Linked DNA regions of Canis lupus familiaris. The protein of the gene in region 1 interacts with the protein of each later gene in a pairwise test. Links are inferred from orthologs where the notes say so. Each region holds a gene or a part of one and is shown in the gene's direction. Other genes may lie near its edges.

Evidence for each region.
Region 2: the proteins of NUDT3 (region 1) and ASB13 interact in a two-hybrid assay, tested with the Homo sapiens proteins (2 studies listed by BioGRID and IntAct). The link is inferred for Canis lupus familiaris from reciprocal best matches to the Homo sapiens genes NUDT3 and ASB13.
Region 3: the proteins of NUDT3 (region 1) and RPLP1 interact in a two-hybrid assay, tested with the Homo sapiens proteins (2 studies listed by BioGRID and IntAct). The link is inferred for Canis lupus familiaris from reciprocal best matches to the Homo sapiens genes NUDT3 and RPLP1.

The regions. Positions count from the first base shown.
Region 1 is NC_049233.1:3,859,867-3,870,071, reverse strand, and holds the start of NUDT3 (diphosphoinositol polyphosphate phosphohydrolase 1), read left to right. Parts: upstream 1-3,857; 5' UTR 3,858-4,149; coding exon 4,150-4,248; intron 4,249-4,298; exon of another isoform or gene 4,299-4,698; intron 4,699-10,205. UniProt on the Homo sapiens protein: Cleaves a beta-phosphate from the diphosphate groups in PP-InsP5 (diphosphoinositol pentakisphosphate) and [PP]2-InsP4 (bisdiphosphoinositol tetrakisphosphate), suggesting that it may play a role in signal transduction.
Region 2 is NC_049223.1:29,321,411-29,331,626, forward strand, and holds the start of ASB13 (ankyrin repeat and SOCS box protein 13), read left to right. Parts: upstream 1-4,170; 5' UTR 4,171-4,256; coding exon 4,257-4,299; intron 4,300-10,216. UniProt on the Homo sapiens protein: May be a substrate-recognition component of a SCF-like ECS (Elongin-Cullin-SOCS-box protein) E3 ubiquitin-protein ligase complex which mediates the ubiquitination and subsequent proteasomal degradation of target proteins.
Region 3 is NC_049251.1:33,775,336-33,785,501, forward strand, and holds RPLP1 (60S acidic ribosomal protein P1), read left to right. Parts: upstream 1-3,359; 5' UTR 3,360-3,495; coding exon 3,496-3,567; intron 3,568-4,210; coding exon 4,211-4,285; intron 4,286-5,882; coding exon 5,883-6,000; intron 6,001-6,214; coding exon 6,215-6,294; 3' UTR 6,295-6,334; downstream 6,335-10,166. UniProt on the Homo sapiens protein: Plays an important role in the elongation step of protein synthesis.

The DNA.
Region 1 (10,205 bases):
ATTTTGTAATCCTATTAAAAATTTTCCCTAGACTTGCCCTGGGACTTGAAATGTTATTTACTAGATCTTTACCTACAAGACTTTTGGAAAATTGAACATTTTTAGAATTATGTATTTGTTAATTTATTTGAGGGGTGCCTGGCTGGCTCAGTTGGTGGAGCATGTGACTCTTGGTCTCAGGATTGTGGATTTAGGCCCTACATTGGGTGTAGAGATTGCTTAAAAATAAAATCCTTTCTAAAAAAAGATTATTTAAATCTATTATCACCCACTATCATCCTTGGAAGGGTAGCCTATTCTCAAGCATTATCTCTTACCTCCTTCCCCTCTGTTAGGTACACTGCCTGGGATATATGGGCAATGAATGAATGAACTAGAGACCAGGTAAATTTTATATGAGGTGTGACAGGCAGCTTTAACTATGGACCCCAGTGATTTTTTCTTTCTTTTCTTTTTTTTTTTGAAGATTTTATCTATTCATGAGAGAGAGAGAGGCAGAGACATAGGCAGAGGGAGAAGCAGGCTCCCTGCAAGGAGCCCAATGCGGGACTCGATCCCAGATTCTGGGATGAGGACCTGAGCTGAAAGCAGACACTCAACCACTGAGCCATCCAGGTGTCCCGACCCCAGTGATCCTTGCCTTCTGGTACAAGGTATAATCTTCTCCCACACTAAGTCAGGCTGACTAATGTGGTCAATAGAAAGCTGTGAAACTAACAAAGTGTGACTTTCAAGGCCAGTTCATATAAGGCATTGCAATTCATTCAGTTTTTGAGTCTTGTATTGTTTGCTTTTAGAGGAATCTGACCACCATGTTGTGAGGATGCTCAAGTAGCCCTACGAAGTTCACATTAAAGGGCACAGAGCCTCTTCTACCTGTCAGCCATGTGAGAGAGCCCCCCTGGACGCGGGTCCTGCAGCTCGTCAAGTCTTCAGATGACAGTGGGACCAGCCAACACCAGCTTGCTCACCTTATAAGGGACACAGAGCAGGACTGCTCAGTCAAGCCACTCCAGGATTCTTAACCCACAGAAATCATGAGAAATAATAACTGATTCATGTTCTAAGCCACTAAGTTTTGAGGAGATGTGTTATGCATTAATAGGTAACTTGTACAAGAGCAAAGATCAGACCCAGTAGGTGCTCCTGGGGGACTTGAGGGGATGGACAAGGTAGTCCTGGGAGGGAGGAGAGAAAGGCATGTTAAAGGAACAAGACAGAGTAAGGCACTTGTGAAAAACAATTTTCTGGGGATCCCTGGGTGGCGCAGCGGTTTAGCGCCTGCCTTTGGCCCAGGGCGCGATCCTGGAGAACCAGGATCGAATCCCACATCGGGCTCCCGGTGCATGGAGCCTGCTTCTCCCTCTGCCTGTGTCTCTGCCTCTCTCTCTCTCTGTGTGGCTATCATAAATAAATAAAAATTAAAAAAAAAAAACAAAAAAACAAAACAATTTTCTGTATTTTGTTTAACATTTTACCCAAGATCACACTAAAAGTTATTACAGATGATTTCTGACATGCTGGGCCAGGATAATGTTATGTGATCTTCATTCAGAGGACCAGATTTTAGGTGTGTCGTGTGGGGTGTTCCTGTGGACAAGTGATTAAGCTTTATACTCAAGATCAGGTTCTGGACGGGCAGTAGTTGTTCTTTCACTAATAAAATGTTTTCAAGGTTGATTCTGTTAGGTCCTGGGAAAATTGCTGAGTGAAATAAGCAAGGATGAGTGAGACACAGACTCTGACTTCAATACATTTGAAATATGAGATTGGCAAAAAAGAAAGTGACAATGCCATGTGACAATGTGATAAAGCAGGACAAACTCAGGCCAGTAGGAAGCATAGAGGCAGTTATGCAGTCAGAAGGAGGGAACTTTTGAGTTTTATTTATTTATGATAGACATAGAGAGAGAGAGAGAGAGAGAGAGAGAGAGGCAGAGACATAGGAGGAGGGAGAAGCAGGCTCCATGCTGGGAGCCCGACGCAGGACTCGATCCCGAGACTCCAGGATCGCGCCCTGGGCCAAAGGCAGGTGCTAAACCGCTGAGCCCCCCGGGGGATCCCCAACTTTTGAGCTTTAAAGGATAAATATAATTTGGCTTCTTCTCTGGGTACGTGGGGAGGGATAATGGAATAGGTGAGGGTATTGGAAGAAGAGCCTAGAGCCTTCTGGACACCAGGGAAGCATGTTCAAAGGCTTACCCTGGTATACTGAGACCTGGAATACCATTTGCAATTCTGCTCTCTCAACCCTAATAAAGTGGCAGATAGTACCATGTAGCTGTCTAGCTGCTGGAATGATTGTACTCAGACAACTTTTCTGGGAAGGCTTTGGCAAGAGGTAGCAAGAGCCATAAATATGTTCCTACCCCCTTGATCTGCCTCTAGGAATTCATCCTAAAGGAATATCTGAAATAGGGACAAGGATTTATATACAGGGACATTCATTACTGTTCTAATGAAACAGAGGACACCATCTAAATTTCTAACAATGAGGAAAATATAAAATAATTGATGGTCATCCCTATGATGGGCTATCAGGTAGTAATTAGAAAGGTATTTTTTTAAAAAAAAGATAACATAAGGGGAAAGACGGGGGGGGGGGGACAGGCTACAGATCTCTATAGAATGTGCTCAAAGATACATGATTTAGTTTTTTATGCCCTCTGTATTTTTCAAAATTTTGACAATGATCATGTTACAGGATTTCTACAGCCAGAACTTTTTTTTTTCTTTCCTTTTAGAGACCTAATGGCAGAAGAGAAAATTAGAAAAGCAACCAAAATGACCAAGATTTTGGGAATTCTATTGCATGAAGATTGACCCAAATTAACTGAAATTCCACATTTTATGTGGCTAGGATTAGGTGAAATGCCATTGATATTATTTGCAATGTATTAAGTGACTAATTGCCAGACAAAAAATAGAAGCAAATAAAACATGTAACCGAGATTCCAACAAAGGCTTGGTTTCAAAACCTGATTTTTTTATGTGCTAAATACAAGCAAATTAAATAAGGGCAATAAGCAACTCACAGACAAATCCCGCACAGGTTTTACACCACGTTCAAGGAATGGGCATGGTATTATGTTTGGTCTGGGCTGCTGGGAATATTCACAGGTTATATTTCATTTTCCCTTGCTCCTGTGTCTTGCTATATATTTTCTCTGGAGAATCTGACGTCCACACTATAAAGTCCTCGTTTAGTGCCAGAAATAAGGATGTTTTACAATTTGCATTATGTGTGTAGAGCACATACACATGTATCTTCCTTGTCTGGCCCTCCTGTTTACCTTAACAGGAAGCATCTGTCTTTGCACCCGTCAAGGGCTGCGGGATGAATACGTTGGTGCCCCGGTGCTCAGGACTCCCAGCGCTCTGGAGGTCCAGGCTCTGTGCACAACGCCCCTCCCTCCAGCCTCCTCTCGCCCGGGGCCGCGCAGTGCCCGATCCTGGGTAAATCCCGTGGACGCTCCACAGCGTTTAACCGCATCCGGCTTTTTCCTCCAAACCTTCCCCTTCCCCGCTCCCAGAGAACCCGCAAGGCCAAGGCGGGCGGCCCGACCTTGGGCAAGTCCCCGCTTCCCCCTCCGCGACCCCGAGGCTAGAGAGGCACCTCTCGGCGGCCCCGGGCGACCCCGCGCCCGCACCCCGCCCTCCCCCGACTTCCTCCGCGCGCGCCCCGCCTTCCCCACCCCTCCGCTCCCGGCGTGGCGGCCGCCTCCGTTCGCACGGCCCTTTCATTCCAGACGCTCGTTTACGCCGCGCGGACTGGGAGGGTGCGATTCCCGGACGCCGCCTGCGCTGCGAGCGCGCGGCCGTCCCGCAGGCCCGCGCGGCCTTACGCCGCTGACGCAGCGCGCCCAAGATGGCGGCGCGGTCGTCGTCGGGGGTGGCGGCGGCAGAGGGGGCGGCGGCCGTGGCGGCAGCAGCGACGGCAGCCGTGACGGCGGCGGCGGCGCGGGGCCTGGGCCGGGGGGAATGAGGCAGCCGTGGCGGGCCAGCGGCCGAGCCGTGTAGCGGAGAAGCGGCTCCCCCTCCCTGCTTCCCTCGGCCGAGCCGGGGACGCGCGCGCGCGCCGCCGTCCGGAGCGGGCTCCCCACCCTCGACTCCCGCGACCCGCACCGCACCCCCACCCGGGCCCGGAGGATGATGAAGCTCAAGTCGAACCAGACCCGCACCTATGACGGCGACGGCTACAAGAAGCGGGCCGCGTGCCTGTGTTTCCGCAGCGAGAGCGAGGAGGAGGTGAGGCTCCGGCCGGGCGGGCCGGGGGTCGCCGGAGCCGGCCGAGGTGCGGGGGGCGCGGCCGCGGGCCGGGGGTGTGCCGGGCCCCGGGCAGGACTGCCCCTCCCGGCCCGAAGGAAGTGCCGCCGGAATTCCTTGAGCCGGAGCGGAGGAGGGAGGAAAGAGGACGGACGGTGGGCGGAGGGGCAGCGGGTCCGAGCGTGGCCCCGCGCGGCCTGAGCACGGGTCAGGCCGGGGGAGCGTGGGAGCCGACCGCCTGTCACGGGGCCGGGGGCCGCCGGGAGAAGGCGGTGGGTGCGGGACAGCGTGTGGCCTCGGGGCCGGGCCTCCGGCGTCGGCTCCAGGAAGGGCGGCCCCGCACTTGTCAGCCCGCACATGTGTGCAGAGGCCGCCGTGCACGAGGCGCAGGCCGGCCCTTTGTGCCAGAGAAATAGTCCACTACCGGAGCAGGTTTGGGGGTGGCCGAGGGGTTACGTGTGTCTGTGAGCCCATGGGGGTGGTTGGGGAGATTTAGGGCGTTGTACAGACGCCAGAGCCAGTTGTTTGTTTATTTTACAATGCGCTGGGTAGCCTTTCTGGTGTAGCTGAGAAGAAAGGACGTTCGATAAGAGAATCTTTATGACCTGAAAATACTTCATTTTAATTGGGAAGCCCAAAAGCCATGTTTAAGATCTGTGCCCTGACATTGCCCTATCGGAAACTCTTAAGGATTGAATTTGCTAGCAAAATGGACATGCTTAGAATCAGTTTCTTTTTTGCATGGAGTACCTAAAAGAAAAAAAAAAAAAAAAAAGAAAGAAAGAAAAGAAAATCTCAGCTTGCCAGAGCCGTTTTTGTGGTGATAAAGGGAATTTAGAGAAGGCAAACGTTTTTGTAAATCCACAAAGAGTAGCTGCTTTGGAAATTCATAAGATGCCTGTGGGAAAGCGTTTCTCTCCTGTGCATGGTGGTAAAATGGCAGTTAAACTGGAAACAATGAAGGACAGTGAAATTCAATATGCTATATTCTGGCATTCAGCAGCGGGCTATAGTGGCAGGGCTGCAAGTACAGTGCATCGTGTTGAAATGGGGGGAAAGGAACTTGACCCGTTAGTTATGAAAAGAAGCTGTGATGAAAGAGACAGATGGATTGCCAAGAGTTGCTGTCCAGAGATGTTTAGGAGGAAGTGGGACTTTAAATTATTGCCTGAAAAAAATTAGTCAAGCAGTAATTGTGCTGTTGAGGGACTATGTGTGTGTGTGTTCCCTTTCAGCAAAACAGAAGGAGAGGGAATTTGGAAATGTATACTTCGTGTTTTATCATATATTTTATCATATATTTTAAAAGTCCCCAAAACAGATGCATTGTAATGGGGTACTAAGCAGGGCCATGCTGTGAATGATGCAGTTTTGGAATATATACTTGAGTAAAGTAAAATTTTTGGTGGTGTTTACTGCTCCAGAGGCTTTGTTCTTTTCATTTTCATATCATATTACAGGAAATCAGATGGGATCACAGTCTGTTTTAACTGGAGGGAAAATTAATTAGCATAATAACATGTCTTACTACAGTACTGTGGTTAAGTCTGTGAGCACCCCAATTATAAGTAGAAGGGTGTATAATTTAGTTGTATGAATGATGCAAGACTATTTGTTTAAAAAAATCATACTGAAATTGAGAACATGTGAGTATTTTGGATAAATTGGAAACTTCATAGATCATAAGCAAACTAAGACTTGATTTTCTATTTTTTCTTAGTTTTGTTATTTACTAACATTAACAGACTTAATGTTAAGACATTTGGCTGATTGTGGAGTTTTCTCTCTTGAATTTCTTTTTGATCATTGGTTAATGAGCAGAAGATTCATGCAAATTTTTAAATTTATTTTTATTTATTATTTATTTGTTTCATGCAAATTTTTAAAAAATAATCTGAATTTTATTTTTTTATTTTTTTATTTTTTATGATAGTCACGCACAGACAGAGAGAGAGGCAGAGACATAGGCAGAGGGAGAGGCAGGCTCCATGCACTGGGAGCCCGACATGGGATTCGATCCCGGGTCTCCAGGATCACGCCCTGGGCCAGAGGCAGGTGCCAAACCGCTGCGCCACCCAGGGATCCCTCATGCAAATTTTTAATTACAGATTCGGTGGATGTTACAGCTAAAGCCCAGAAAGGACAAGAAAATTAATGAAATGCACCCATTTTAGACTTGTTCAGTTCAATTAAACAAGTATGTGTTAAGAGCCTACTATGGGTGCAGCATTCTATAATGTGAGATTTAAAGATAAATATCCCTTTCTGCCCAAAAAAGTTGAGTACTTTTTGATGGGATCCCTTAATTGGGAGGGATTTTGGACCACAAAATAATCTCTAGGGTGCCGTTCAGCTCTCAGATTACATAATTATGTTAGAAGGGAAGTAATTTGTTAGTTCCGGGAGAACTTTTATGTTCTCAATAGAAGTGCCAGAAACTGGAAGTATTAACTGCCACACATTGTGGGAATGTGAAATTCAAATTCAATAGGACATTCAACCCAATTTTATTTTTTAATGGGAAGCAATGGCTTTAATCAAGATAGAATAGCTTACAGAATACTGTTAGCATGAATACAATAGTAATGTAAGAATAAAGAGACCCTGGTTAATAAACTTAACTAACCAGTGTCAGGAAACATACATACAATGTAAAGAGAAAGAGATAGAAAATATTGGAATCAAACCTTCGAACATTCTGTTTTTTCAGCCCCAGAAGATTTTATATGCCAGCAGTGACAGTTGAAACACTGATCCAGGTTAGGATGTGTGAACATATTTGGCAAGTTGGCAAGTTTACAGAGCAAGTTTATTGAGATACTGTTACATATAGGGAGTTTAGAGTCTAGAGGGGGCAACAGAAGAACAGGCCCAACAGCATGAACAGAGTGTGTTCCTTTCCGTCAGACCTTGGACTGCTTTTCCTGTGAGTAGACAAGAATCAATAGCAGGAAACTCCCCCCACTTCAAAGTTTTACTAATTGTTATCAACATTTTGATAAATTAAAACCTTTAGGTTTAGGGCATTCATGATAACATATTTATTACTGTACTTTGAACCTACTGATACACAGTAGACAGTCTCTTACCCAATCTCCATTTAAACCAGCTTGGTATACTGAATACCCTTGTTATTCTGTGAGCCACTGGGTCTCATATACACCCCCAACCCAATCAGTCCTGTGCTTACATAGAGTCAGTTGTATTTATTCCTGTATTTGTGTATGTTCATCTTACTTGTTATTGTAATTATGTAGTGTAATTAAATATGATATAAGCATGTGAGATTTGAGTTCAAAAATAATGGTTTTGTGAGTATTCTAAATTCTTTGGAATGACTCAATAATTTCAAGTCATTAAAAGAAATTACTGCTCAATTATATGGATAAGCAAACTGCGAAGGATGGAGAAGAGTCTTAAAAGTCTAAAAGGACTCTGCACATAGATCACTTCATGAATGTTTTCAGGTTTTCGTTTTTCTTTATAGAAACCTGGACCAGAGAGGGCACCTGGGTGGTTCATTCAGTTAAGCGTTTGATTCTTGGTTTTGGCTCAGGTCATCTCAGGGTTGTGGGATCAAACCCCGTGTCTGGCTCAGCAGGGTGTCTGCTGGAGATTTGCCCCCCTCCCCCCATGTTCCCCCTATCCCCTGCATGTGTGCATGAGCACGCTCTTGCTCTCTCTCTCTCAAATACATGAATAAATCTTAAAAAAAACAAACAAACAAACAAAAAACCTAAAAACCTGAACTGGAAAACAGGTCATGCATGATGGGTGTGGTATATGAAAGACAACTCAGCCGTCCAATGATAGATTCAAGACAAGATCTTAGACCTACAAAGATTAGCAAGTAAGTATACATTTGTATTTTTAGTCTGCCTTATCTTCCCAGTTAATGTTTTATCATAAGCAGTATACAAGACTGAAACTGGCTTCTTGAGTAAGATTTTATTCTTCTGGACTGGGTGACAATAACAATCAACTTTGTCATATTGTTTGTCTTTGGTTCTCTGAAAGCACTTCCGGTTGAGATTTTTCCCTTATCCCTCTTTTTTTGAGGCTCTGTGATGACAGGAAGTGAGGGACACTAGAGGTGGGCTTGCTTGTGTTCTTGTACTCTCCCCAGAGTGGAGTGGGGGAGTGGAACAGGCATTTTAGACAGTTGAAATATCTAGCAGTGTGAAATACCCTCCTAGAAAGGCCAGTGACACAGTCTGGACACCAGATGATGTCACAGTGCTTGGGAAAGTTAAAGCTGCGCCTAAGGGTCTATTTTTACTCAAGGTAAAACACGAGTATTGATAGGATCATCTTAGATTTCTCTGTGTATTAAAACTGCTTTTAAAAGGAAAGGATAGATATGCCAGGGTAGCTCAGCTGTTGAGCATCTGCCTTAGGCTCAGGGCGTGATTCTGGGTCTGGGACACTGGGCTCTCTGTGAGGAGCCTGCTTCTCTGTCTTTCTATGTCTCTGCCTCTTTCTCTATGTGTCTCATGAATAAATAAATACATCTTTAAAAAATAAAAAATAATAGAAAGGTCAAAACTGTCCTTAAGGGTCTTAGGTTTGTTGGTTGAGCTTTTCCATCTCTTGGCAAGGGACTGCTGCTTCGCACTTTCTCTGAACTCACGAGGGTGGGTGGGGAGATGACTGACATTGAAGATCCTCAGTGGGCAGGGACTCTGGTGGCCTGAGTGTTTGTTAGTAAGAATGTCCCAGAGGAGCAGGTGGACGTCATGGCAGACCACACCTTCTCCTGGGCTCTAGAGAGGAGAGTAAAGCACAGGCAGCAATCCCAGAGGCAATAACCATGACAAAGAGCTTTCAGTAGATCCCAGGCTGGTTGGAGAGTCTTTTTGTAACATATCTCTGGTCATTGTCCAGTATTACATTGTTCTAAGATCATGATGAGTGCATTGATCCAGTCATCTGATTGGACATTACTGATGCTCATTTCTCTCATTCTTTTCCTGGTGGCTTCTTGTGTGTGTGCTCTCTCGTGCTTACGTAGTAATACTGGTTAGTCAGTTAAACATTTTTCCCATTACCTCCTTTTCTATTTTGCTTCCTGAGATGTGAATTCTGGTCTGAAATCATACTGCAATCTCCATTCTTCTTTTCTATTCTTTGCCTTAACCTTTTTTGCTCCTGAGTGATTCTCATTTCTCAGTAAATATCGGGTTGCATATCTACTTTGTATGAAGCAATCTCTCATTTTCTTCATAGCCTAGTCCAAAAAGGAAGGGCCCTTGTTCAAGAATACATTAGTTTACTCATTTTTTGAGGGCCCTATTGTGGACTAGTCTCTGTGCAAGATCCTGCAGTGTATCTTTACACTGGTAAATAAGTCTATGGTCCCTCATAAAGTCAGCTTTTCTATCTGCTATGTATTTGTGCCCATCCCCTCCTGCCAGCCCAGCAGGGGTGGGTGTCCTATGGGTGTCCTGTCTTTCCTGCTTCATTACCAAATCCTTCTCTACTTTATCATTCCCAGCTGAGCAGGGTAAAGTATTTTCCATCTTAAAAGAAATGCTCCCTTACCCCATGTTCCCTCCAGCTACCATCCCATTTCTTTCTTCCAGTTCCCAGCAAAACTTTTCTGTATTCCTTGTCTCCACTTTCCGACTTCCCATTTCTCTTGAACTCATTCCAGTCAGGCACTCTTTTTTATGATTATGCTGGAATCAGTCTTCAAGATAACAAGTTAACAAAACCAGTGGCCAGTTCTGAATCCTTGCTGCCTCATCATTACTTTCTTCTTGAAATACTTTCTTTACCTTGCTTCTAGGACATCTTTCTAGTTCTTCCCCTTCTTATTGGTTATTCCTTCTTAGTGTATTCCTTCTCATTTTCCCGAATTCTTTTATTGTAGTGCACAAGGACACAATCTTTGAACCGGTTCCACTCCCCATACTTCCTACACATGCTCATACAGTAGG
Region 2 (10,216 bases), on another chromosome or scaffold:
TGAATTGATAAAGATGTGGTATATATATGTATATCATACAATGGAATATTATTCAGCCATAAAATGAATGAAATCTTGCCATTTGCAACAACCCGGATGGAACTAGATAGTATAATGGTAAGTGAAATAAGCCAGAGAAAGGCAAATATATTATTTCACTCATGTGGTATTTAAGAAACAAATGAACACAGGAAAAAAAAAAAAAACAAGACAAATCAAGAAACAAGATTTGTCTTAACTATAGAGAGCAGATGGTTACCTGAGAAGAGGTGGGTGGGGGAATGGGGGAAATAAGTAAAGGGGATTAAGGGTACACCTATCTTGATGAGCGCTGAGTAATATGTAGAACTGCTGAATCCCTATGTTCTATACCTGAACTGCTGAATCCCTATGTTCTATACCTGTCTGTCAACTATACTGGAGTTGAATAAAAAGCAAACCCAAACCAGATGAATAAATCGATGGAACAAAATAGCATTCCCAGAAATAAGCCCGTGCATGTACAATCAATTAATTTACAAATGAGCCAGGAATATACCATGGGGAATGGACAGTCTCTCCAACAAATGGTGCTGGGGAAACTGGACCACTCTTATAAAATACACAAAAATCAACTCATAAGTGGATTAAAGACTTGAGCATAAGACCTGAAGTCATAAAATTGCAAGAGGAAAACGAAGACAGTAAGTTCCTTGGGCAGGGGAGGAGGGGATGTGTTGACACCAAAAGCAAAAGTAACAAAAGCAAATATAAACAATTGGAACTACTCCAAAATAAAAAGCTTCTGCACAGCAAAGGAAACAGCCAAGTAAAAAGGCAACGTATTGGATGGAAGAAAAATATCTGCAAATCATAGATCTGACAAGGGGTTAATATCCAAAATGCATAAAGAGCTCCTATAATTCAATTACAAACAAACAAGCTGATTAAAAACTGGGCAGAGGCTCTGAATAGTCCTTTTTCCAGTGACGACATACAGGTACATGAAAAGGTTCTTGACGTCATTAGCCATCAGGGAAACACAAATCAAAACCCCTATGTGATACCACTTCAAGCCTGTTAAAATAAGTGTTATTAAAGACAAGAAAACACAAGCATTGGTGCAGATGTGGAGAAAGGGAACCCTGTGCGCTGTTGGATCAGTCACTCTGGAAAACAGTACGGAGGTTCCTCAAAACATAAAAAATAGATTTACCGTATGATCCAGCAATTCCATTTCTGGGCATTTATACAAAGGACGTGAAAACCCTAACTCATGATGGGGTATTTTCTTCCAATATAAGGCGGTTCCATCTACATGGGTAACCTGGGTTAGCACTTGCTACATCAGCACTTGTCGCTTCACCTGGCACACCTACATTTGGGAGGTGGGTTCTTTCCTGAAACCGTATCAACCAACCTCTGCTGGGTTTTCTTCTGCAGCGTCCTCACGTCCAGCCTTCGTGGAGTTGAAGAGAGTTCAGGCCTTGCTCTGGATGAGGCTTTGGCTTACGGGAATATTGTGGCTGGTTTGCTTTTCCATCTAGACCTCTGCAACCTTATTATCAACAATAAAGGCTGTTTGCTTTCTTATCATGTGTGTGTTTGCTGGGGTAGCACTTTCAGTTTCCTTCAAGAACTTTTCCTCTGCATTCACAACTTGGCTAATTGTTTTGTACAAGAGGCCTAGGTGTTTTGGTTTTTTAAAATTCATTTTATTTGAGAGCTTGAGCACAAGTGGGGGCGTGTGTGCAGAGGGAGAGACAGACTTCCTGCTGAGCTAGGAGCCCCCAGGACCCTAAGATCATGGCCTGAGCTGAAAGCAGACCCTAAACCTACTCAGCCACCGGGGCACCCCTAGCTTTTGATTTAAAGTGAGATGTGGGGGACTCTTCCTTTCACTTGTACACATAGAGGCCATTATAGGGTTATTGATTGGCCTGATTTCAATATTATTGTATCTCAGGGAATAGAGAGGCCTGAGGAGAGGGAGAGTGATGAACACACACATTTATCAAGTAAGTTTGAGGTCTTAGGTGGCTGTGGTTTATGGCGCACCCAAACAATTAGAACGGTAACATCAAAGATTATTGATCACAGGTCACACCATTACTAACACTGGAAATGATGTGAAATGCTGCAAAAATTACCAAGGAGGACGCCAAGACACAAAGTGAGCAAATGCTCTTGGAAAAATGGCACCGATAGGCTTGATTAAGGCACAAATCTTCAATTTGTTAAGAAAAAAAAAATCTGCAAAGTGCAATAAAGTGAAATGCAATAAAAGAGAATTAATGCAGAAACATTTTTACTATTTAGACATTTTCAGAACTTTATTGCAACTTGGTGGAAAATGAACTTAGATCCTATAGATTACAAGTTCCAGACTTAAAGTCTCAACAGCAGAACAGAACAAAAAAAAGAGTATGTTCTGGCTTTTGGTGGAGAAATACATCCTGACTATCTGAGAGTGAGGAAACACTCTCGGAGTATGTATTTCTGAATATATAAGAACTTAAAACTCTTCTGAATATTGAGATCAAACAACGGAATGGAGAAAACCTTACCAAATAAGCTAATTAGGAAATATCTGCTCTCTCATGTTTGAGAAATACACACATGTCTATATATAGACATAAATACATTTATAAATATGTGGTTTATAAAAATATAGGGTGTATACAAACGTACATTCTATACTGAGATCCAGATGAAACTTTGTCAAGGAAGAAAAATCAAAGAAAATACGAAGGTAGGACACCAGCATTGTCATAGGAAAAAATAACACCCCACAGCAACCAGATTTTTAAAATGTGCATTTAATACAGAATGCAAGAAACTTGCAAGAAAAATGCAAGAGCCTCATTTTGGTCAACAAGTGGCAATGAGGGTGCGAACCCACACTGCTAAGCGGCTTGAAGTGTCATTTCAGGCCTGGGGTTGGGACTCCCCAGGCACTTTGGTCAGAGGGAGTTCAAACTCCCGCTGGATGCAGCGCCCGCGGTCTAGACCGGAGGAAAAGATCCGAGTCGTCCAGGGGAGGGAGGTCAATCCTTCTGCGCCCTACTGGTCCTCAGGTATATCCGCCCCAGGTAAATCCCGCTGATGCCCCTTAGGGCAGCGCAAACTAACTTCTGCGTGGAGTCTCCGGGTCAGGGCGGCCCGAGAAACCCGGTGACCAGGCCACCAGCAACTTCGACAGACTTCAGCCTTCCAAGCCGGGCGACCGGCTTTTTTTTTTTTTTTTTTTTTTTATTTATTTATTTATGATAGTCACAGAGAGAGAGAGAGAGGCAGAGACACAGGCAGAGGGAGAAGCAGGCTCCATGCACCGGGAGCCCGACGTGGGATTCGATCCCGGGTCTCCAGGATCGCGCCCTGGGCCAAAGGCAGGCGCCAAACCGCTGCGCCACCCAGGGATCCCCGACTGGCTTTTCAAAAGCAAAACAGGCTACACCTCACTTACTCGGTGGCTCCCCCGCCCCGCCCCGGACTTAATCGGAAGGCGGTGCTTCAGTCCCGGGGCGGGCCTCGGAAGGGAGGGAGCGCCGGCTCCGCCCGACACAGGGGACCCGGGGGAAGGGGGCGGGGAGCTCGAGCGCCACGGGACCCCGCCTGGCCGGGCACCGCGCCCAGCAGCTCCGCGGCGACCCTCCACCCCCAGCCCGGGGCTGCAGCGGGACCCCGCCTGGCCGTGCACCGCGCCCAGCAGCTCCGCGGCGACCCCACCCCAGCCCGGGGCTGCAGCGGGACCCCGCCTGGCCGTGCTCCGCGGCGCCCCCCCACCCCCAGCCCGGGGCTGCAGCGGGACCCCGCCTGGCCGTGCACCGCGCCCAGCAGCTCCGCGGCGACCCCCCCCACCCCCACCCCCGGACCGGCCCGAGCTGCAGCGGGACCCGCCTGGCCGTGCTCCGCGGCGCCCCCCCACCCCCAGCCCGGGGCTGCAGCGGGACCCCGCCTGGCCGTACACCGCGCCCAGCAGCTCCGCGGCGCCCCCCACCCCAGCCCGGCCCGGCCCGGAGCTGCAGCGGGACCCCGCCTGTCCGTGCACCGCGCCGGCGCCCTCCCGCCCCCACCCTCCAGCCCACAGCGCCCGGCCGGGTCGGGAGCTCCAACGTGGCTCGCCGTGCGCACGGCTCCGGGCCCCGGCGCGGCGGAACTACAACTCCCGGGTGCCCTCGGGCGCCCGCCCCGCCCCCCGCCCGCGGAGCCCCGCCCAGGTCGCGGGCGCCCGAGTCTCGGGGTGTGCGGGCGCGCGGCAGCAGCGGGAGGGCGGCATGGAGCCCCGCACCGCGGACGGCTGTTTCCTGGGCGACGTGGGTAGGTGCGGGCGCGGGGGGCGCGGGGGCGCCGGGAGCGGGGGGGGGTGGTGGCGGGAGCGGGGGCCGCGCTGCCCCCGGGCGGGCAGGTGCGTCTGAGGACACGCGCGCGGCCGCGGGGACGCGCTGCCCCAGGGCGCGGGCGGGGGCGTCGGGGCGGGCGGAGGTCGGGGACCCGCCGGGTGCCCGCGAGCATCTCGGGCTCCCAGCCCCCGGCCGGCGCGTTGCAGGGCTCGTCGCGGTGGTGGCGCGCCAGGCGCGGGACATCCCAGCCGCAGACGCACCTGCGCACCAAGCACCTTGGGGAGGGCCGGGCAGGTCGCGGCCAGGCTCAGCGCCCAGAGGTGCTCGGTGAGGGAGCCGCAACGTCTTCCAGCGGCCTGCGGGGTCGGGGCGCACCGTCACTAGCATCCTACAGGTACACCCGGCCAGGACCCAAGGCATGCGCTCCGGGAGGAGGGGGTGCCCTTGTGACAGGTCACCCTGTGTGTTTAAGAAAAAAAAAAAAAAAGTCCATCTAGGTTCTTCCCTGCATCTTGCTTCTAATATTCTGGCTACGGAAGAATAAAATAAATTCGAGGGCAAAGGGACATTCTCTGGGGGAAGCAAACATCCCTGCCCATGAACTAATACTACAGACGACACGTGCCCAGAACGCACTTTGAAAACCTGGAAGAAAAAAAAAAAATCTAAAGTACTTTTACACTGGTTAAAAACAGCAGTGCCAATAACGCTGAGGAGTCTTAGGAGTACGTTTGGTCTGAGAGGGATTACTGTCTTAGCAAGGCAGGTATTTGAGTTGATCTTGCAAAACAGCCACCGTCAACAAGATCAAAGGCGTTGAACAAGTGTCTGGTGTTAGCTGGCCTTCCACCCTGGGCACGCACAAGACTTGGACCTCAGCACGATCTGCGTTTGGTTCAGTTAAATAAGTGATGAACAGCTAACCAGGGTGGCCTAGGCACAGTTTCCTTATTTTTGTTCACACACAATGCTTAATAACACAGCATTTACTTCTGAGCGTTTTTGTTTTCGCCTGGTTTAGGGAATCTTGAAGAGAAAAGCACGCTCCATCAATGGATTTACAGCTTCTGAGGCTCGTGGATGTTTTTGACACTCATTCTTTTATTTCCTCTAAAAAAATATGTCCCGATGCTTTTCTTTTCAACACTAATGAATCCGCTGAATGTATTGAACCTGGAAGCCTGCTATCCCAGCAGAAGCAGAGGCCCACTGTAGGAACTGGTAACCCATTTTAACATTCAGATCTGAAAGTCTAGATGCATGGTATATTTCAAAGCATTAGATTTTCCATTTTTTCAATAGAACACCTCACAGAGGTAAAGAGTGTGCTTATTAAGGCCATATTGTAAGGCTCTGCAGACAATTTAGGGCAAGTCACCTCCTTTTTTTTTTTTTTTTTTTTTGGCAAGTCACCTCCTAAGTGAATCCAGAATTCGTAACTCAGCAAATGTAATACAGGTTGTAGCGGACCCAAGGTAAGTGCCCATTTGCACAGTTGAAAACGTGATCCCACATTTAGGATCTGGACCCAAGAGTTGTACCTGAGAGGCTAGCAGAAGACGACAAAGGGTACCTTGAGGACTAGGGTGCTCTAAGCTAGGTGAGCCAGTTTTCTTCAGTCATCCTTGGCCAGGAACTCCAAACACAGCCCACTACTGTCTGGGGTATTCAGAGGGTGAGATGGAAAGAGAAAGGAGAGTGTTTCTGGGACCACCGTAAGAGCCTGGAGCTGCTAGGTTATATGCCAGCACTAGCCGCGAACCCTGGGGCAGCTATGGACAGTCCTTATTGAGTTCATGCAACTAGAAAGAAGCAAGGCTGAGGTTTAAACCCAGGTGGATTTTTTTCTGGGTTGCTTGTTTGACGCTAAAAGGCTCACGCCCTTCCCATAAAATACATTAATCTCTAATCAGTTGGTAAGGTTGAGTGTTTTCTCTGAGCAGTTAAGTCTCAAGAGTGGGCTTAAAATATTCAGTAAACTGTGTTGGAAACATTCGCGTGCTCACCTAGGCTTTGTTGTTCACTTATGAACACAGGAAGAGTAGATTTAGCATAATTCTTAAGGGCCTTAGGATTTTTGAAATGTTCAGTGACCATTGGCTTCAACTTAAAGTCTCCAGCTTAACAGCTCACGAGAGAGCCTGTCTGTCCCCTGAAGCCAGGCTTTGACTTCTCTCTAGCTGTGAAAGTCCTAGATGGCATCTTCTTCCCATAGAAGGCTGTTTCATCCACACTGATAATGTTTGGTGTAGCCACCATTAATTTTCTTAGCTAGATCTTCTGGACCGCCTGCTGCTTCCCCTTGCACCTTTGTTTTGGAGGTGGCTCCTTTCCTTAAACCTCACAATCCAACCTCTGCTGGCTTCCAGTTTTTCTTCTACAGCTTCCTCACCTTTCATGGAATGGAAGAGAGTTAGGGCCTTACCCTAGATCGGGCTTTGGCTTAAGGCAGTGTTGTGGCTGGTTTGATCTTCTCTCCAGACCACCTAAACTTTCTCCATATCAGCAGTAAGGCTGTTTCATCTTATGAATGTGTTCACTGGAGTAGCACTTTTAATTTCCTTCAGGAACTTTCTTTGCATTCACAACTTGGCTGTTTGGTGCAAGAGGCCTAGCTTTCAGCTGGTGTTAGCTTTCCACATGCCTTCCTTTCCGAGCTTAATCATTTCTAGTTTTTTTTTGTTTTTTTTTTTTTAAAGATTTTAGAGTGAATCTATGTGAGTGGAGGAGGCTGCAGAAGGGTAGGTGAGAAGGAGAGAGAATCTCAAGCAGACTTGGTGCTGAGCAGGGAGCCTGCAGTGGGGCTGATCTCACAACTCTGAGGTCGTGACCTTCACTGGTATCAAGAGTCGGATGCTGAACTGACTGAGCCACCCAGGCGCCCCTCATTTCTAGTTTTTTTTTTTTTTTAAATTTTTATTTATTTATGATAGTCACACAGAGAGAGAGAGGCAGAGACACAGGCAGAGGGAGAAGCAGGCTCCATGCACCGGGAGCCTGACATGGGATTCGATCCCGGGTCTCCAGGATCGCACCCTGGGCCAAAGGCAGGCGCCAAACCGCTGCGCCACCCAGGGATCCCTTTTTGGTATTTTTTTATTGGAGTTCGATTTGCCAACATATGGTGTAACACCCAGTGCTCATCCCATCAGGTGCCCCCCCTCAGTGCCCGTCACCCAGTTACCCCGACCCCTCGCCCACCTCCCCTTCCACTGCCCCTTGTTCGTTTCCCAGAGTTTCATTTCTAGCTTTTGATTTGAAGTGAGAGATTGGGGGGGGGGGGGGGGACTCTTCCTTTCGCTTGAACACATAGAGGCCATCATGGGGCTATTAACTGGTCTTAATTTCAATGTTGTGGGCTTAGGGAATGGGGAGGCCCGAAGAGAGGGAGACTGGGTAACAGCGGGTTGGTGAAATTAGAACACACACATTTGCCGATTCAGTTCACCATCTTATGTGGGTGTAGTTTGTGGCACCTGCAGACGGAGACCATCTGAGGTGATTGATCGATCACTGGAACAGATGTAATAGTTGGGAATATTGCAAGAATTACCAAAGCATGACAGACACAAAGTGAAGCAAACACCGTTGGAAAAATTGCAACACAGAATTGCCACAGGCCTTCAACTCGTAAAAAAAAAAAAAAAAAAAAAAAAAAAAAAAAAAAAGGCAAAAAACCCCAAAAAACAAATTATCTGCAAAGTGTAAGACATCGAAGGCTCCCTGGCCTTCCTGAGCTGCCTCTCCCTTTTTGCTGCAAGATTCAGGGCCTCACACCCTGTTTTCCTCTTTGTAGGGTTGCAACCCTTCACACTACTCCATTGGGTTTTCCTTCTTTCGGACCAAATTTACAGTGAAGGCCACTGTTCACTAACCCCCAAGACAGGCATGCCAGGGACAGGTGATTACTACTGGGGAAGCAAGTCCCCTTCCTTTTTTTTTTTTTTTTTTTTTTTTGCAAGTCCCCTTCCCAAGGCAGTATATAGAAAGCCCCACAAGCTCGGCTCTTATATTTTGTGAGAATTGAATCTTCCTGAGTTTCAGCTCTCCTTTTGCCTCTACCCCTCCCTCCCACCCCACATATGATCAGGTCCCTGTTTACTAAGAGCCACCATTTGGCGAGCACTTTGTGCCAGGCCTCACACTAAGTGCTTTTGCTTACTTTAGCTCACTTTACAGTTTATTCAGTGGTGGATTATGAAAATTATCAACAACCCGATTTGTAGGTGAAGAAACACTCGGGGGGGGGGGGGGCAAAGTCCTGCAGAAGCTAATGAGTGGCCAAGTTTCAGATGCAGCAGCAGAGAGCTCTCGGCCCCCATACTTTCCTGCCCCACGGTGGAGGCACTGGGCCAGCTTCGTAGACGGCCATCAGCACGTAAATGAGGAAGTTCTCCCTTGGCGGAGGAGAGCAAGTCACCCCACTTGGGGTCTGTAGGAGTGCTCCGGCAAGATTTGTGGATGGACTGGTGGGTTAGGTGGTTTTCTAGGGGAATGTAATAAGACGTGTAATGTGATAAAAGACAAGTGCTATTATGAAGAGGAATGGGATCTTGCCTTTGAAGTAGGGGGCGTGATAATAAGGGTGGGTCAGTATTAACCCAGCATTGCCATTTAGGACTTTTTTTTTTTAAGCCTAGTGCCTGGAAGATGCCACTGTATCTTAGGTAATGGACACTGAGAAAACATAGCTGTAGTGTGTGCATTCAGGTAGGTCAGTCTCGGGCTAGTTTGTGTGCTTTTGTCTCCATTTGACCCAGACAAGAACCCTCCTCACATAGTAGGGGGCCCAACCGGAAGCTGGGCACCAGGCCCCACGTGACCTTGGGCTCACTACATTCAAGGCTTTGGTGCTCAGCCCCGCCGTTCTTGTAGGCTCCAAGCTCAGGCAGGTGGCTGGAGGGCTAAGCAATTCTGTGATCATGTCTAGGCAGTATCCAGGCGAAGCAGGGAGATGGTCTTCTCCTGGAAGTCCTTGGGACAGAGGGGAGTTTTGAAGCTGTGAAACCACTCACACGCTCGCCTTCCTTTCTTGGGAACTACAGTTGGGTCAGGTGTCCTGACAGGAGTGAGGATTACTGTGATTAACTTAGAGCACTCCTCTGGGCGTGGAACGGATGCTTCTGGGAACCGACCTATGTGGCCATTAGTCTGTTCTCCAGTGTGGCAGGTAGCAGGCAAACAGGTGATGACCACGGTCTGGTGGGAACACACAAGCAGGCGGGTGGGCCATGGGAGCACAGACAAGATGCTGACCCAGATAGGGGCAGAGGTGGGGCAAGTCCTCCTGGAGAGAGCCATCTTTGGATTGCAGTGTGGAAAGATACAACTAGAATTTATGTAGGGTGAGTGAGAAGAGGTAGGAATGGGGTGAGGAGTTTGAGGGGGAGAGGGGGCTTTATTCACAGGGAGAAGTACTGTCTCGGCCAGTGGCTCTCAAAGTGTGGTCCCCAGACCATCAGCATCACATGGGAACCTATTAGGGAATTCACATTCTCAGGACCAAGACCTGTTGACTCTGGATGCTGGGGTAGGGCTCAGCCATCTGTTCTCAGGCCCTCCCCCCGCTGTTGCTGCCCCGGCGTGAGTGCCACTGGTTAAAGGTATGGGGAGGCCAGAGCGCCACTTTTATGTACCTCATTTCTAGAGCTGAAGAGTGATGGGAAGCGGTGAGCTAGTGTGGGAGAGAGAATTTTACTTCCTATTGGGATCAGAGTAGTGCCTTTACTAATCACAAATTTGTTGAATGGGTCCTTTGAGGTTGATTGCAAAAAGTTATAGTCAATTTGAGATGAAGGAAAAGAAAGCCATTTACCAAACTCATGAGAGCTCTAAGTACTAAGAGAAAATCTATAGCTGTAAATGTCCGTATGAAGAAATAGCTCAAATGAACA
Region 3 (10,166 bases), on another chromosome or scaffold:
CTCTATGAAATATTAGCAAACTGAATTCAAGGACACAAAAAGAATTATACACCATGATCAGGTGGGATTTATCTCTGGGATGCAAGGATGGTTCAATATATGCCAATCAACAAATATATCACATTAATACAATGAAAGATAGGGGTACCTGGGTGGCTCAGGTCATGATCCCAGAGTCCTGGGATCGTGCCCCACGTGGGGGAGTCTGCTTCTCCATCTGACACCCCGGTGTTCTCCTGCAGACCTGTCCAATCCAACTGCCCCCAGGTGTCCCTCCAAAGTGACTCCTGTCCTAAGGCACGGTGGAAATAAGCTCATGCACCAACATGCCTACAGTTCCTGCAGCTGAGCCTCTCAGCTGACTGCACGGAGCAAGCCTTGGCTGTTGGTGTGCCCACAGCTGAGGCATATAGGCTAAGTGTAGACAGCTGGACTGTCAGTCCTGTCCACTAATGAAACCCACTGCTGCTGCAGAGGCCTCTCAACAGCGGGCAGTAAACTCTGAGGATGCCACAGCAGGCGGTGCAGCTAAGGGAAGCTAGCAGAGCTGAAGGCAATGGCAGCTCAGCCACAACACAGCCCACAAAGGGGACACCTCTTGAGCACCTGGTTCTGGTTACCATGGTGGGGGGTGGGGGGACTGCACTACAGGGCACCACAAGACCTTTTCTACACAAGGCCACTATTTTCAAGACCAGGAGATATAGCGGATTTACCTAATACACAAAACACAGACACAACGAGGAGACAAGGATATGTCCCAAATCAAAGAATAAGACAAAATCACAGTAAAAGAGCTAAATGAAACAGATAATACTCTTGATAAACAATGCAAAGTAATGGTCATAAAGATTCTCACTGGACCTGAGAAAAGACGGCTGTGACATCATCAAGTATAATAGTATTCACATCATGGAGTGCCAGAGAGAGAGAGAAAAGATAGAAAACTCATTTGAAGAAAAAACAGCTGAAAACTTCACCACTTAGGGGAAGGAAACAAACACCCAGGTTCAGAAAGGAAAGAGAGCCCCCAACAAGGTGAACACAGGAGGTCCACACTGAAACACATAATTAAAATGGCAAAAAGTGATGATAAAGACACAATTTTATTTTTTTATTTTTATTTATTTATTCATGAGAGCTACGGGGGGGGGGGGGGGGCAGAGACATAGGCAGAGGGAGAAGCAGGCTCCATGCAGGGAGCCATGCAGGGAGCTCCACGTGGGACTCGATCCCAGGACTCCAAGATCACGCCCTGGGCTGAAGGCAGATGCTCAACTGCTGAGCCACCCAGGGATCCCGATAAAGACACAATTTTAAAAGCAGAGAAGCAAAACAAGTTACGACGGAAAATCCCATAAAGCTATGAGCTGATTTGTCAACAGAAACTATGCAGGCCTGGGCAGCCCGGGTGGCTCAGCGGTTTAGCACCGCCTTCAGCCCAGGGTGGGATCCTGGAGACCTGGGATCAAGTCCCATGTCAAGCTCCCTGCATGGAGCCTGCTTCTCCCTCTGCCTGTGTCTCTGCCTCTCTCTTTCCCTAAGTCTCTCACTGAATAAATAAATAAATAAAATCTTAAAAAAAAAAAAAAAGAAACTATGCAGGCCAGAAGAAAGTGGCATGATATATTATTCAAAGGGCTAAAAGGAAAAAAAAAAAACAAGAATACTTCACTTAGCAAGGTTATTGCTCAGAAATGAAGGAGAGATTAAGCTTCCCAGACAAACAAAAGTTAAACTGGCCTAATAAGAAACGTTAAGGGGGATTCTTTAATTGGAAAAAGGCCATAACTAGAAGAAAATTATGAAAGGAAAAAATTTCACAACTAAAAACAAACATACAATAAAGGTAGTAGGTTTATCCCTTATAAAACCCATATGGAAGTTAAAACACAAAAGTAGTAAAATCAATTATATCTACAAAATTAGCCAAAGCATTCGCAAAATAAAAAGATGTGAAATACGACATCATATACATAAAATGTGAAGGGAGAGTAAAAATTTAGAGCTTTTAGAATGTGTTCAAACTTAATATAGACTGCAATATATATAAAATGTTATACATGAATCCAGTGGTGATCGCAAATCAAAAACCTGTAAGAGGGCAGCCCGGGTGGATCAGCAGTTTAGCGCTGCCTTTGGCCCAGGGTGTGATCCTAGAGGCCCAGGATTGAGTCCCACGTCGGGCTCCCTGCATGGAGCCTGCTTCTCCCTCTGCCTGTGTCTCTGCCTCTGTCTGTGTGTCCCTCATGAATAACTAAATAAAATCTTTAAAAAAAGAGAGAACAGATTGGTGGTTGCCAGAGGGAGGGATGGGATGGGCGAAGGGGGTAAAAAATTACAAACCTGAAGTTAAAAGTCACTGTGGGTGTAACGTACGACATGGTGACGATAGTTAATAGGACTGTGTGTCATATTTAAAGGCTGCCAAGAAAGCAGACCTTAAAAATGGCTATTTATGTATAGTGATGTATGTTAACCAAGACTTACCATTTTTGCAATACACACAAATAGCGAATCATAATGCTATACTCCGGAAATAAAAAATGTCATGTCAATCATACCTCAAAAAAAAAAAAATAAAAAAAGAAAGAAAAAGAAAGAAAAAGCCCAACAACTCTCAATACGAATCCAACACCGATTTTATTAAGTTTCAAAAGATACAAAGTGGCAATGCAGCACCTACACAGAGAGAGGTTGCTTCAACTCATCTTTGGTATCTTAAGGGCACGTTCGAGGCATTTCCACCCAAACACGGAGTGCCTTCGTTATACCAAATGCAACTGTCACGGAAAGCTCCCCTTCCTTCCCAGTAGATCCCTAATACGTAGGTCCCTAACAGTACTCACCCCCTGCGCTGTGCAAGGATGCGGGGAGTCCCGGCAGGCCGCGGCTCAGCGCCCGGGGCACGGTAGGCGCTCGGATGCTGCTGCTGCAGCTGCTGCAAGCTTCTCTTTTCCTCCTGCAGCTTTTTCTCTGGGACGTTGTCCTAAGCACCTGAGACCTCCCCGCAGACAGCTGCTGAGCTCCAGGTGCTCACAGCCCGCGGGGCGCGGGGGGGGGGGGGGGGGGGGGGGGGGGCCGCAGCCTGGTGACGTCATCAAACGTCCAAATAGCGTGACCCCGGATACACTACCTGGGGTGAACTCTATTTACTCAGGTCACTTTTTCCTAAAAGTATTTTTACTGTCTCAGGAGCCCCGAGTTTTACCCCAACCAAGAGAATTCGCAGCCGCAGGTGCCTGATAACCTCTTGACCCCGCTCACCAGCGTGTCGCGCTGTGTGCGCAGGCGCGTTCTCGCCCCGCCTCTTCCGCCAGGAGCGGGCGCCGATTGGTCCGTGGGATTCGTATAAGACGCTGCGCGCAGGCGCGGGACCTCCTTTCCTCAGCTGCCGCTAAGGTGCTCGGTCCTTCCGAGGAAGCTAAGGCCGCGTTGGGGTGAGGCCCTCACTTCAGCCGGCGACTAGCACCGCGCTCGGCACGCGCCCTCGCCATGGCCTCCGTCTCGGAGCTCGCCTGCATCTACTCGGCCCTCATCCTGCACGACGACGAGGTGACGGTCACGGTGAGTGCGGGCCCGGGCGGGCGTCGGCCTGCGGCCGGCCGCTTTCCGTGCGCTGGCGGGGCGCCCTGCTAGGCCCTTCCGGACGAAGCCGCGGCCATCGGCGTCCCGGCGGCGGTGCGGGCGGCCCACGTGCGTGCGTACGTGCGTGCTTACGTGCATGCGGGCCCCTGTGCGTGCCGGCGGGCGGTGCGGGTGGGCCCACGTGCGTGCCGGCGGGCGGTGCGGGCGGGCCCGCGTGCGTGCGTGCCCACGTGCGTGCTGGCTGGCGGGGCGGGCGGGCCCACGTGCGGGCGGGCAGACATCCTGACCCGTTTGCCCGGACGGCCTCCCCGGGCCAGGCTGCGGGATGCGGATGGAGCGCACGTCAGCTTGCTGCACCTGCCGCCCTGCGAGGTGCCCGGCACGCGGGGGCCGCTGCGTCTCCGGTGATCTAAGGGTCATGAGAAATTTTTCGTTTTAAATAAACGTACGCGAAATACAGACACAGTATTTGGTGCGGTTAAACGTGGTTTCTGGACACACGTTTTGAGTGATTTACTTTCAGTTGTAGTGGTTTGGAGACGTTTCCGAAAACTGCGCTTTGCTTGCTCGTGGAATGCGGGTTTTTTTTTTTTTTTTTTAACTTTTTAAATTATTTTTTTAGGAGGATAAGATCAATGCCCTCATTAAAGCAGCGGGTGTGAATGTTGAGCCTTTCTGGCCGGGTTTGTTTGCAAAGGTAAGGAAATGGCAGTAGAGTGATTTGGAGAAGCAGACTTGGGGAGATCAGGGATTTACAAAGTCAGGTGTACTTGTAACACGAGAACGGCTCATAGTTCCATATCTAGAGTCTAAAATTTGTCTTTAACTTCCTTTTTTTTTTTTTTTTTTTTTTAAAGATTTATTTATGAGAGATGCAGAGAGAGAGAGGCAGAAACACAGGCAGAGGGAGAAGCAGGCTCCATGCAGGGAGCCCAATGCAAGACTCGGCCCCGGTCTCCAGGGCCACGCCCTTGGCCGAAGGCAGGGGCTAAACCGCTGAGCTACCCCACACGTCCCCCTGTCTTTTCCTTGTTTGCAGTCTGGTTTCTTTTTCCTTCTGTTCTGAAATCATGACACACACACATATATATGTACATGTATACATAAATGTTACACACCCACCGGATGACTCCTTAAAAGAGTCACCCAGGAGGTAATACTGCCTATGCCCTTCCATTCTTCTTTTTAAATACATAACAATTTTATTGATCCATCAGAAAAAAATAAAAGTACAGTGTAACTTGCATCCCCACTGGGGCTAAATTAGCCCTTAAGCACAGATTATGATTCTTAAGTGCTGATTCTTCTCAATGTCCAAAGTTAATTTTTAATCAAGGATTTCTCCTGGAAATAAGATTTTAAATCGTTTTTCATTCGCATTAGGATAACCATTGAGATCGGCGTCCTGTATTATATGTAAGAAGAGGAATATTGTATGAGAGCTAGGACTCCCATTAGTTCATAGCTAATTTGTGCGACAATGAAATGGTAAAAACAGCAGTGACAGGCCCCAGAGATGAGTGTCCAACTGCCCCTACAGAGACATGGTCATGAATTGGTGTGAACCAGGGGCAGAGCTGTCCCTTATAAAATTGTCAAACTCTTTAACCTCATGAACATTTAGATCTCAGAACCGGGTTTCATGGAAATTGGATGTAGTGGCCCTTATTTTGAACATTGACTGTTGGGATATATATCAAAAGATCAATGAAGACAAGATTCTTACCCAAGGAACTTGGTATCATTTTCTATTACATATTATTTAGTCTCTGGTAAGAGGCAATTAGCTTTGTCTCTCCAGGTTGTGTCCTCCAAAGAGCTTTGAATGATTGAAAACATTGTACTTTCAATAAAGGTACTCCTCTTTAGTAAAGTCCCTGGACTTCGCAGTCTGAAAAATTGAATTCACTCTTAAGATGTGGAACTGGAAAGAATCTTGGTTTGAGTATTTAAGGAAGCTTGAGTTTTTTTGCCAACAACTGAAGCCAGCATTTTGCGGCCAGTTTTTCTCCTCTATAAAAGGAAGGAATTCAGTTACTCTAAGATTTTAAGCTTGAGTAGGTTTTCTTGTGATTAGTTTTTAATATAGCTCTGTGTCCCTAAGTCCTAGGAAATCTCAGCAGACAAAATGTCACTGGCAGATTGCAGCAAAGGAGAAGGAAGGGCAATGTAGTGTTGGGGATTGATTGCTGTCAGTTCAAAAGGGAGGTAAAGGTTACCTCCCTTTAGAGGTGGGAGGTTTGTAACAACAAAAGGCCAGAACTGAGTGTAATCTGTTTGCACGTGTGTTGCAGGCCCTGGCCAACGTGAACATTGGGAGCCTCATCTGCAATGTAGGAGCTGGTGGACCTGCCCCAGCAGCTGGCGCTGCGCCAGCAGGAGGTCCTGCTCCTTCCACCGCTGCTGCCCCAGGTAGAAAACTTTTTTGGTATTGGAGGGAGGAGCGTGGAGATTAAGAGCAATCCTGTCTGTAATACTTAGTTTGCTAAAAGAGTAGACGATAGAAATCCTAAAACCAGGGACATAGTTGGAAGTCTTGGGTATTTTTGACCATGTAAATTGAAGGGCCTGGAGCTCGTTGGAGTTTAAAATACTGACAAGGTGTGTTATTGTTTTTGTTTTTTAGCTGAGGAGAAAAAAGTGGAAGCCAAGAAAGAAGAATCTGAGGAGTCTGATGATGACATGGGCTTTGGTCTCTTTGACTAAACTTTTATAAGCTGCTCAATAAAAAGCTGAAGTCCTGGTTGCTGTCGGTTTTTCAGTTGTTTGAGGATGTTCTGTGTAAGGGTGATCTCATTTCTGCAACACTGGTTTTTAGCCTTTATTGGTATGACGCCAGCTGAGTTTACCCCCCTGCCATCACCTCATGGTGAGGAATAGTACACCAGCCAGGTGCTGCACCAAGAATGTACCTAATACTGCCTCTAGAACTGCATGGAGAGGTAGGAGAAGGGCAGATGCCTTGTCAGGGTCACCTTGAGTTCATGATAACCAGGTCTGTCCCTTTTGACAGGAATAAGAGTCAGTGGTAGTGGTGGTACAATCAAGGCCTCTTAAATCCCAAGTATAGGGGATCCCTGGGTGACTCAGCGGTTGAGGATCTGCCTTCGGCCCAGGGTGTGATCCTGGAGTCCTGGGATCAAGTCCCACACCAGGCTCCCTGCATGGAGCGTTTCTCCCTCTACCCGTGTCTCTTGTCTCTCTCTGTGTGTCTACAGAATAAATAGATAAAATCTTAAAAATCCCAAGTAGGGATCCCTGGGTGGCGCAGCGGTTTGGCGCCTGCCTTTGGCCCAGGGCGCGATCCTGGAGACCCGGGATCGAATCCCACATCGGGCTCCCAGTGCATGGAGCCTGCTTCTCCCTCTGCCTGAGTCTCTGCCTCTCTCTCTCTCTGTGACTATCATAAATAAATAAAAATTTAAAAAAAAAAATCCCAAGTATAATTCTGGCTACTGGCTACAAATTTTTGAGCTATGCTGAACCATCTGAAGTGGAATACTGATATATCCCTGGGTTTATAATTCAGCAATACTGTGAAGGAGTAGTGGAAATTCAGGTTTGAGTCCCCATTTACAGAGACTAAAACTAATTCAAACCTGTATTTGACTTAAGTAGGGTTTAGGGAAGGGGGTGGCTGAGCACTGGTGTGGAGACTGGTTCACTTTGAAATGTCAGAGGAACCCCTATTTGGACTTATAAAAAAGTCCTCAGAGCAATTAGTGCCAGGCATCTGAACATCTAACCCTTTCCTCTGTCTCCCAGTTTTAAGAGAGACCAGGAGTTGATGAAAAGACTTCGTAGCCCCAACTGTCCTCCAGTGAAAGATGTATAAGACCATTAGTGTTAAGTTACACCACCACATGGGTAAGTAGCTGGTGTACCTTACAAAATTGAACACCTAATCCAGCAGTTCTGTTCCTATAATTACCCAAGAGGAAGTATGGACATCTGGGTGCATCTCTGGGAATGTTAAAAGCAGTGTTTGAAAGCAAAAACCTCAAAGATCCATCAACCAGAAAACCAGTGATCCCAAATTATCAGCAGAGAAAGTGAGCTATGGATATAGAAGAATTCTTAAGGTTTAGATGTTACTGGTATTCAAGTTTTGGAGTTTTCATGTATTAGAATCCTTTGAGCATGTGAGGAATGGGTCATAAAGTGATTGTGGGGGTTCCCAGATGGTTAGGTAGAGCATGCAGCTCTGATCTTGGGGTTAAGAGTTCTAAGCCCCACGTTGGGTGAAGAGCTTAAGTACTTAATTTTCCTCCATCAGCTAATAGTGCTGTGCTGATCTCAAGCATGTCCTGTCCTCTGCACAACAATCCCATGGTAAGACCATGTCATGGGTCAGAGGTTAACTTGAGGTAAAGGCTAGTAAATGAGTGGAAGGATTCAGACAGGCTCCGACTGCTCCTCTCCCGGTGCCTCTGCTCCTTTCTCCTGTCCTGTGTCTAAGGACAACACCTGCCTCACTGGGTTCTAGAGATCTGAGATGACAGGAATTGTGCCTGGTGAGCCCTGAAGTGTCAGAAGGGAATATGGACACTTAGCCAAGGAAATATTTTGAACGGATTAAAGAACACTTAAGAAGATAAAGGAAAACTGTATCTAGAACAGCTGAAAATTAAGTGGTAAATTGGGATATAAGTATCAAGTTCAGTTATCCAAACTACAATGAAAATGTTTTCTGTAATACTCAAGTGGTAACATGGCCTCATGGGTGGGTCTAGCTTTCGAAAAGAAATCTTTTAAATGTAAAAATCTAAATACCTTTCTAAAGAATGATATTCAAACAAGGAGATCCACTTACATGTGTAGAGATGCTAACATTCATTTGATTTTGAATTATAAAGTCTGCCCAGGAGACCCTGGGTGGCCTAGTGGTTGAGCATCTGCCGTTGGCTGAGGTGATCCCGGAGTCCTGGGATCGAGTCCCGCATCGGGTTCCCCATAGGGAGTCTGCTTCTCCCTCTGCCTGTCTCTGCCTCTATATCTTTATATATATATATATATATATATATAAGTCCGCCCAGTTATACTCCCCTTTTAGTTTCCCTGACTCTTAATTTCCTCTGCAAAATGGGAATAATACCTAGTTTATACTGGGGGATGAACTTGCCCATCAATGTTTGCTGGTATGCAGATGTTATTTCCCTTCTGTGTAAGGTACAAAAAACACAGCTGGTATCCCTGGTTCTCAGAATCCCATGGTCCAGCAAGCCTAAGCCTTTGCCCTTCAAACCTCCTCCCTGCCAGTCATTTGCAATCAGGCAGCAGCTTTGGTTTCTCATGACTGGTTTTCACACTACTGATTGTTCACCAAACATACTTGCTATTTTTTTTTTTTTAAGATTTTATTTATTCATGAGAGACACAGAGGGGCAAGAGACACACAGGCAGTGGGAGAAGCAGGCTCCATGCAGGGAGCCCGATGTGAGACTCGATCCTGGGTCTCCGGGATCATGCCCTGGGCTGAAGGCGGCGCTAAACTGCTGAGCCACCGGGGCTGCCCCATACTTGCTATTTTGTTTAAAAAGTTCCATTGTTCCTAAGACTCTGTTCAACTCTCTTTTGGCCACTCAGGGCATACCCAGGTCCATGGCTGGCTCACCCTTCCCTTTTTAAGTATAATCTTGCATCAGCAAGGAGCCAGGATTAGGTGTAGGGGAGAATTTTAGGAACAGACTTGCTCACTAACAAACCATCTAAGAACAACAATTTTTAAAACAATCCATATTGTCACCGAATGTGTTGCACAATGGGATAAAAAAAAAAAGAAAATCCAAAGCTCCTGTCAACTGTTACACTTTTTTTTTCTTCTTTCTTCTAAAAATGAGAGAACTACACATGAAATTCTAAAACCACCTTTTGGAAAAGAAATACTCTAATTAAAGTGAAAGAATTCAAAATATTTATGCAACAAAACAACTTGGAATATTGCTACAAATTCAAATAAAGTATGTCAAATCCTTCCTCCCCGTAATTTGAAAGAACAGATACAGTAAAGTTCTGAGGGAACAGCGGGAGCCAGGTGTTCATTGGCTTGGTTGAATAGTGCTTTATAGTTTAGAAGTGATCTTGATGGTTTTCCCATTCTGAACTTTACCATGTCAGGAGAACTTAATTCACCCTGTTTGTACACCAGACTTGCTTGGAGAGTTTGGCTGCCTGCCAGGTTTGCGCAGCTAACGTAAGGCAAAGCTGGGCCTGCCACCTCGGTCGTCTCCAGTAGCTCTACCACCACACAGCGTCCCCTCCACATGCACTTTAAGGTACAGTGATGAGCCTTTTTCCTCTGTCCCCATAAAAGCCACGTCTCCATCTTCTTATCTTTGCAAACAAGACGGGATAATTCAACGTGAGGTAGACATGGGCCACTTTCAAGAGAGCTTTGGTATTTTTAGTCCTTCTGGAGCAGCCACGAGGTGGCCCTCAAAGTCGGATCACAGACAGCACACAGCATGCATCGGGAACCACGAACTGTTCAGGTCTGATGCAGCAATCTTCTGGAACACTTATACCAGGGCACGGGGTCAGGGGCCATGGTGAATTTTCACAGGAGTGCTCAAATAGTT